Linked DNA regions of Oryzias latipes. The protein of the gene in region 1 interacts with the protein of each later gene in a pairwise test. Links are inferred from orthologs where the notes say so. Each region holds a gene or a part of one and is shown on either strand. Other genes may lie near its edges.

The links.
Region 2: the proteins of wasl (region 1) and arpc3 interact in binary tests that used the Homo sapiens proteins (3 or more experiments, as listed by UniProt). The two-hybrid records come from large-scale screens. The link is inferred for Oryzias latipes from reciprocal best matches to the Homo sapiens genes WASL and ARPC3.

The regions. Positions count from the first base shown.
Region 1 is NC_019881.2:13,550,027-13,553,868, forward strand, and holds part of wasl (neural Wiskott-Aldrich syndrome protein), read left to right. Parts: intron 1-1,178; coding exon 1,179-1,313; intron 1,314-1,474; coding exon 1,475-1,561; intron 1,562-1,956; coding exon 1,957-2,053; intron 2,054-3,474; coding exon 3,475-3,498; intron 3,499-3,522; exon of another isoform or gene 3,523-3,842. UniProt on the Homo sapiens protein: Regulates actin polymerization by stimulating the actin-nucleating activity of the Arp2/3 complex. Involved in various processes, such as mitosis and cytokinesis, via its role in the regulation of actin polymerization.
Region 2 is NC_019870.2:16,796,095-16,800,607, reverse strand, and holds the start of arpc3 (actin-related protein 2/3 complex subunit 3), read left to right. Parts: upstream 1-1,377; 5' UTR 1,378-1,504; coding exon 1,505-1,510; intron 1,511-1,884; coding exon 1,885-1,984; intron 1,985-2,505; coding exon 2,506-2,582; intron 2,583-3,045; coding exon 3,046-3,114; intron 3,115-3,246; coding exon 3,247-3,373; intron 3,374-4,513. Other genes in the region: gpn3 (GPN-loop GTPase 3), read left to right, coding at 575-671, 764-892, 979-1,044. UniProt on the Homo sapiens protein: Component of the Arp2/3 complex, a multiprotein complex that mediates actin polymerization upon stimulation by nucleation-promoting factor (NPF).

The sequences.
Region 1 (3,842 bases):
GCGTGGTAAAACTGCAGGAGTCTAATCTGGCCTTATGATCTTGTCTCGGTGTGCCATAGCTGATCCGTGTATGTGGAAGTGTTGCTACTCAGGCTTTTTGTAAATGACACGTGTTTGCTAGTGGTCATGTGATTTAATAGTGCAGTTAAGATTTATAAATAAATGTATAGTTTTCAATCTTTATGTTTTCGTGTATGTACTGTAAACTGCTTTTAGGAGGCCTTTTAGTTTCTTGGTGGTCCCCTTTCCCACATTAACAACTTTTTTTTTTGCTACAAAGTTTACATTTAATTGTCATTTCTCATCACAAATCAAATGTTTATGAATTAAATTGTAATATTTTAGCAATGATTCTCAGCAGAGTGGAGAAACATTGGTTGCAGAAATGCTACTTTGACTCAGTCAAAAATAAAGATGCAAAGCACAAATGCACATTTTTTACAATTTAAACATGTATATTAGCATAAAATCACACAGACTTTTCTTTTCTATTTTTGCTCCTATTTGGACAACTTTTCATTTTTGAACAAACATTTCTATAATAATTTACACACATGTAAAGGTGACCCTGAATACTGAAAGACATTTTTCCCAAGGTTTTATTTGAACATCAAATTCACCAATTTTTCTTTTACATATAATCTATTACACCCTAATCTATATTACATCAATAAGGTTTAATGGGATACAAACTAAGATCAATGAGAGCAGATGAAATACTAAACAAATACAAATTTCCTAAGGAAAGGCTAGAAAGCTGAAGATGCCCCTTACAGTCAGTCCAATTGATGAAGTCGGACTCTTTTGCTCACTGGTAATCCTTTAAGTCCAAAATCCTAAATTTTTTTTAATCTTTTAAGTCTTGTTATATAAAATGATTGGTAGGCTGGGTCTGAGACATTGATGGTATTTATAGGAAAATGTTGTATCTATTTAATGAAGATGTTTAGCAATAATTCTTGTTTAAATGTCCTTTATCGCTGCATTGCAGTTACAGATATTTACCACAAGAGGGTGCTATAGGGTCTGGAAAACAAGAATTAGCTTTTAGAGTGATTTTTTTTTTCCATATAGTTTCTTTTAGTTTATTTTCTGCAAAGGTTGTGAATAAAAAACAAAGTGTCTCCATAAATGTTGAAATTTTAACTGCTGGTTTTTCTGTTTCTTGTCCTCTGCAGACACTGTCTTCAGCTGTGGTCCAGGTGTACACAGGTGATAGGAATGGCAGCTGGAACAAGAGATGCTGCGGGGTGGCCTGTCTGGTCAAAGACAACCCCCAACGTTCATACTTCATCAGAGTCTTTGACATCAAGGTAGCTTCAAGTCAATCTTCACTTTTACTTAAAGACTAGTAAAAGCACATTTTATAGTCAAACAATCCAAATATTTAGCATTAAAAGCTTCAGCAACTGTTAGATCCAGTTAGATTTGTTGGTTAATAAATGTGGTTGTCTCGTTTGTTTCTTGATGACAGGATGGCAGAATGATGTACGAACAGGAATTATACCAAGACTTCAAGATGCAGATGCCCAGGACTTATTTTGCAACATTTGCTGGAGATGTGAGTTCTCCGTTCGGAAAGAAAAATCCAGTTTTCTAAATGCACATTTCTGTGGACAAATACTTCCCTTCTTTTCGTAAAACCGCAGTTAGAGAAATCAAACTCTTTTGTGGGTTGTAGACATTAAATATAGTTGTTTCATATCCTTCAACTGTCCTAAAATAAAATAAGATTAATCTAGTATTTAGAACATTTTTGTTACCAAATTTTAATATCTTTTTTTTAATTTACTAATGGAATTTTCAAGAACATAAATGTTATTTCCATGAAATAATAGTTCAGAACTACTGCAAAAATGTCCAAAGTATGTGTGTGACACAGAAGAATAGCAGACAGGACTGATCGGAACTAGTGAACAGTTCTGTATACATTTTCCCGCATGTGCTTTCTGACAGACGTGTCAAGTGGGCTTAAACTTTGCCAACGAGGAGGAAGCAAAGCGTTTCAGAGGCAGCGTGTCAGAACTGATGGGAAGAAGACAGAGGAGAACTGGTACCTTCCCTTTTTCCTCAGCTTTGATCTCATAAAAAAAAAAGACAAGATTTACAACTTTTGTGTGTGGAAAAAAACTTCTTTTTGACATCTGGCGTGTAAAGCACTAAATTGGAAATGGATTTTAATAATAAAAAGTAATGGATGCAAATACTTAAACAAGTTGACTGTAAATGTAGCAGCTGATGTTCTATCGGATAGATCCGGCTGGATTAGCACTGTACTGCTTATCCAATCCACCTTTTTTATTTAGTTAAACTTGCTTCAAAGACATTTGGAGCACAAAAAAATGAAAATGTAAACTTGTCTTTTTTTTTTTTTTAACTGTATTGACACAGAACTGAGCAAAAAAAAAAACACTGATAAAAGGTGTAACCCTATAATTTATTAAAACCTTATTCCAACTATGAAGCAGAAATCCAGCGGGGCTAAAACATATTTTTCAGACACCGATTCTACTAGTTGTGATCTCTGATGAACATTACAGACTTCTCTCATCTTTTTAAATTGGTGAACTTCCATAAGCTATGACTGATGAATAGCAGTGGCTGTAATTTATCATTTTCCTTCATGTTTTTCTTTGCTCAGGTCCGTGTTCTGCTGCCGTTCGGTTCTTGTTCTAATCTCTTGCGGTCTCTTTCCTGCTCAAACTCTCCAACCTGTCACTGCTTAAGCTGTTACTCCGATGTTTGGGCTACACACTGAGGCACAAGTTGTGCTTCTAGCTTTTTGTTTCACAAAAACTAATCACAAATCCAATAAACTGGTGCTGCAAGAAAAAAAATAGATTTGTCAAAGTCACAAATTATTATTATTATTAGTGTTCCACACACAGCTTTAGGAAAAGCTGATAATAAACGAAAAAGACATTGATCCTGTTTTGTTATATTTTCATTTCTTTCGGCACCATCATTTGTTTGGAGCTCAGAATATCAGTTTTGATTTCCTCATAGGAACAAACGTTCACTGTTATAGTGTCATGGTTTTTATACAGCCGTCTTTCTTTTACTTTCTTTCTTTGACATTTCTTTCAGATGGATCGTTCTCTGCCGCCGTTTCTCCTCCAAACCCTTTTGTATTTAACACTTATAACCTCGTTTCTGTTTACCTTCCAAATACTAGACAAACAAGCAATTAGGACCTTAAGTAATTCATGTTTGTGTCCAGCTCTGAGACTCTGTGCTTTCATCAACCCCACTTTTCATATTTTATTCAGTAAGGGCAATCAATTCAAGTTTCCTCCTAAATCCACTAACTGACCTTTTATTCTGAAAACCTCCGATCTTTGCTGCTCCTGCACAATCCCGCCGACTCCTGCGCCAAAACCTCAAATGATCCTCCTTCTCTCCTAATGCTAACACCGATTAACACAACCTGCTGCTCAGCCACGGATTGTAATGATATAATTTGTGTTTTCACAGAGAAGAGACGTGGCCCTGCAGATGGTATGTTTGTTGAGTTTTTGTATGTTTCCTTTTGAAAAGCCAGCTAACTGTGACATGGGATTGTATTTATTTGTCACAAATGTCACATTTTTTGTGATTTTTTTTTTTCACAAGTTGATTCTTCCTGTTTTCACCGTGAAAACCTTTAAATTTTTTAAACCAAAGACATGAAATTCATTACTTTGTCGATTTTAGACTTTTCTTTTACCCATTAGGATAAAAGGTGATTCCTCACTTTTTGCTGTGAGCATTTCTGAAACAAATGTCCATAAAGTCCAGAAGTAAAAATAGAGGTAAAACAAATAAAACCACACCTGGTTTATACCATGACATCTTTTAATCCC
Region 2 (4,513 bases), on another chromosome or scaffold:
AAAATCAAGCAAATGTAGAGATTAATTTAGAAAAATAGAAACATCTGAAGAGGTGAGTTTGGAAAAACTAAAGAAAAGCTGCCTTTATTACTAGTTTCTTACAGATTAAAACCCAGCAAGTTCCACAAGGTTCCACTTAATGATTGGAAAAATAAACTTAATTTATTTTTTGCCTACATACATTCATTTATTAAAAGTAACGTTTAAATATTTACAATAATTAAACTAAAAATGATAAATATATAGTGATAAATTTAATATTTTTATGAAGTCCAAATACAACAGAAATTATTTAAAATACTCACTTTTATTGCCAGTAATGACATATTTTTGATAATTAACAGTTTAGCAAGTATTTGCTGACTAGAATTTAGATTTCTCAAAGTGTAGGTTGGACCTGCTGGGAAACAAACATAAAGTTTTGCTTATGGTTTTTGTTTTTCTATGTTAAAAGCATGAATGAACACTTTTGATTTATTTATTTTGATTTTTCTTTAACTGAGTGTTGTAAGTTTGCAGAAGTAAGTAAATGTTCCTTCATGAAATGCGTGTTTGTGTTGTTGTTTTTTTGAAGGTATCTGGACCCAGACATGTACTCAATGATGGAAGATAGCTCCCATACAATCAGAAGCGCCAAGTTCAAGAAGCTAACCAAAGCTATTTGTGATCTTGTAAGTGGACTTGCAGCTTTGTGGCCTAATCTGTTGTCGTGTGTCATTGCTGATTTTTTAAAATTCTCTAAACATTTGGCTTCTTTGTCCAGATAGATGACTACAGTATGGTAAGGTTTCTGCCCTTTGACCGGACTGATGAGGAGGGTATTAACATAGTGCTGCAGCACATCGACTTTTCCATTCAGTATGGAGAGGACCTGGAGTTAAAGGAGCCAAAGGTGAGAACATCTCTAGAGAAAAGATGATTTCTTTGATCTTTGATCTTTTATGTGACATTTGAGGTTTTGCTTTTTGTCTTTTGCAGGAAGGGGATGAAGAACCAGCTAATCTAAATTATGACGAGATATTCCAAGACACAGTTGGCAGCTGAAGCTGGAATCCAGATACAATAGTTGACAACGATGTTTGACTGATTGAAAGGTTGCATTGACTGCATGATTTAAACAAAAACAAAAAAGAAAAGAAATTTGAGTTTTTTATTGGGTGTTTTTTAGCCTCATCGTTTCGTTTTTTTGTTTTGTTTCTGTGTTGATTCTGTGGAAAACTCTGATTTATTATCAAAGGAAGATATAATGCTATTTATTTTTTCTAATAAAATCAATAAAACACATGCCTTGTTGCTTTGTAAAATCATAAAGTCACAAACTAAAAACAAAATGTCAAAAATGGCCTTGTAAACTCAAACCACGTGTCAGCGCCCCCAAGTGGTTGCAACGCCACATGACATCCAGCCACTTCCTGTAACTCAAAGGGTGCGACAGCCGGAAGTAGCGTCTCGCTGTGCTGACATTCCACTTGCTGAGCAGTTGGATTGATAGATTTCAGTCAACATGCCGGTTAGTAAATACCATCCTTCATGCCTTTTTTCAATGTTTATTTATTAGTTTTTGTGTGTAAATTTTGCCGGCTAAAGCAAAAATAGCTAGCCTAAAATTCTGGTTAACGCTAGCTTCACGATGATGAGTCTTTTAGCTTAGCTTATGCTTGCTAGCCTCTTTGGCATTTTAGCAATTTTAAAGTTTCGCACGTATAAATGAACAAATCTGTTGTTACTTTGTGACGTTTACACTTATTTTGACATTACCTGATTAGGGAGACATGGAAAGTGGCGGATTACTGATTTTGTTACAGTGATATATATGCGCTGCTGGAATATCTGAACTGGTGGTTCTGATGACAGCGATGTGTTCCTGTTTCTTTATAATGTCAGGCATATCACTCCAACCTGATGGAGCCGAACACCAGGATGATCGGAAACATGGCCTTGCTCCCCATCAAAACTCAGTTTAAAGGACCAGCGAGGGGAGACGGTGAGCATTTTTCATGACCCATTCACAGGCTGGTGCAACTGCATAAATGTTCCGTCTGCCGATACAAATCCCAAACTACCAGATAGGTTTAATGACCAAAAAAATCTCCTCTTGTTTGACTTGGCACCATTCAGAGTTTTACATGCATAGAGCGTCTGCTCAGTTCCTTATTTAAGTGTCAGCTGAACTTCCTTTTATGGTCTGAAGTCAATCCCCAGGTTGGTAGTTATTGACTTGTTTTATTTAGGTCGAAAAACCTCCTTTATTGACGTAGTATGGTATCTATTTTTTCTCTTCAAGTGTTAAAGAATTGCATTTTTTTTAAAAGGTGCTCAATTTTGCAATGTTTTTGTCTGTTTAGTCGCTATCTTTCAGATTTAAGAACAAAAAGCATAAAAAATGGGCTTCTGAAAAACAGGAAGTGACATAATTTTGCCCATGGATATTAAAAGGTTAAGTGGTAGTTAATTAAAAAATGTATAATATTGGTTTGCTAATGCGTGAATGTTTTTTTTCTCCAGGTGTAGAGTCTGATATAATTGATGAGGCTATTTACTACTTCAAGGCCAACGTCTTCTTTAAGAACTACGAAATCAAGGTATGAAATCCAAACTTTTCATTTGAAGGAACTGACAACTTATGTTTGTGGAGTGTTTACCACTCAGTGTTATTTTATGTTTATATTTTTGAAGGCCTAAAAAGTTCTTTACTTTTTAGATTATTTAAAGTTTGATAATCAATTTTCTAAAAAAAAAAAAAAGTACCTTTATAACATTTCATTACTTGTAAATGTTTTTTAAGTCCCCAAAAACCATGTAGCCATCTGGTGCACTCAAATCTGTCTTTAGTTTCTTCTCCCTGCCTTTTCTGTATCTTGCAGCTGCTTCACTTTTTTCCTTCTTTTCATGTCCCAGCGTGTTTTTTTTTCCCCCTACTTTTGTCAGGAATGCAATCCTTTCATAGCCTTTTTTTTCTCTTTAGGATAACGACAACCATTTCCTTTTCTGTCATTCAGAGCGGACCTTAGCGCTGACATAAACATTTGTGTGTCTCTTTTTCAGAATGAGGCCGACAGGACGCTTATCTACGTTACATTGTACATTTCTGAGTGCCTGAAGAAGTTACAAAAGGTAAATTGGAAGTTGGTTCTGGTAAATTTTGCTTTGAAACGTAGAAAAAAAGATTTTGTTGTACTTAATCTGTTTATTTTTGAAAGTTTGATGCTTTAGGAAAAAAAAACTGTCATTTTTTGCACTTTCCAGTGTAGCTCCAGAGGGCAGGGAGAGAAGGAGATGTACACCCTGGGCATCACAAACTTCCCTATCCCCGGAGAGCCCGGCTTCCCTCTCAACGCCATGTACGCCAAACCTGCGAGCAAGACGGATGAAGGTGAGAATCAAACGCTAAACGTAAACTCCATTTAAGCAGTTCTCCATGCTTAATGGAGTTTAGCGAGGACTAAAGCAGACAACGGGAAGGTAGTTAAGTGAAGAGCGACCCACAACACATCAGGTTTCCTCCTGCTGCTTCTGTAAAGTAGTTATCACCTTCTGCAATCTAAGCTTTTTTTTAAATCTTTTTTTTTTTTTTTAGAGGTGAAGGTTTTAAGAAAAAGATACACAAAAGATGATTAACCCTATTGTTTATTTGTTTATCTTTACACCTGGTTGCCAAGCTGGACATACAAAACTTTAAAATGACAAATAAAAAAAGTGGGATAATTAGAATATGCATTCAGTGTTTCCTTAAAAGTAAGGGAAATCACATCCATAGAAATGAAATTTCTTAATAATTTGGAGTTTTTTAAAGATAAAGTAGCAATTTTTTCTTAATAAAAAAGGTAGCAGATAACGCTTATTTATGTGGACACATCAATAGGGAAAAACTCTCTGAAATGCATTTTCTAGTCTACTGTACCTTTAATCCAGATATTCCCTTATGGTATTTCCTCTTATCTTGTATTTTTTAAGCTGTGCTTAAAGCAATAAATCAACCTGAACCACGACTCTTGTCCTGCGGGTTGTTTTTCCGATTCTTGAAAAAGTTTTACCATCTAAAAGTCTGATGTTTGCACGAGTTTTTTTTTTATATGACGTTAGATCCAAAGAGAGCAGATCTTTAATAACTTTAGAGATGACAGTCGGACAATTACTGTTCTGGTGATGACCCCGTGAAACACCGTTTTCAGAAATGTGACCTTTTATCTCATTTTTATTTGCACAAAAAAAAAGAAATAGATGTGGTTCAAGCATTGATCCTTGGGGCGCACCCTTAAAGACCCACTCTGATCATCTTTTGATCTATTTTATTAATCTGTTCCACCACCGATGTATAACTTTTCTAGTGTGTATACTGTGCACATATATCGCGCTAAAATTAATTAACGTACAAATCACTTATGAATTGCATAGATAAATATTGCAATACTCTGGCACGGTTAATGTTCTCTGTTGATTTATGTGCTCTTTGCTTTGTTTATTCTTCCGTGGTTTCAATGTGGTTAATTGGTGATACATCTGTGAAAATTTC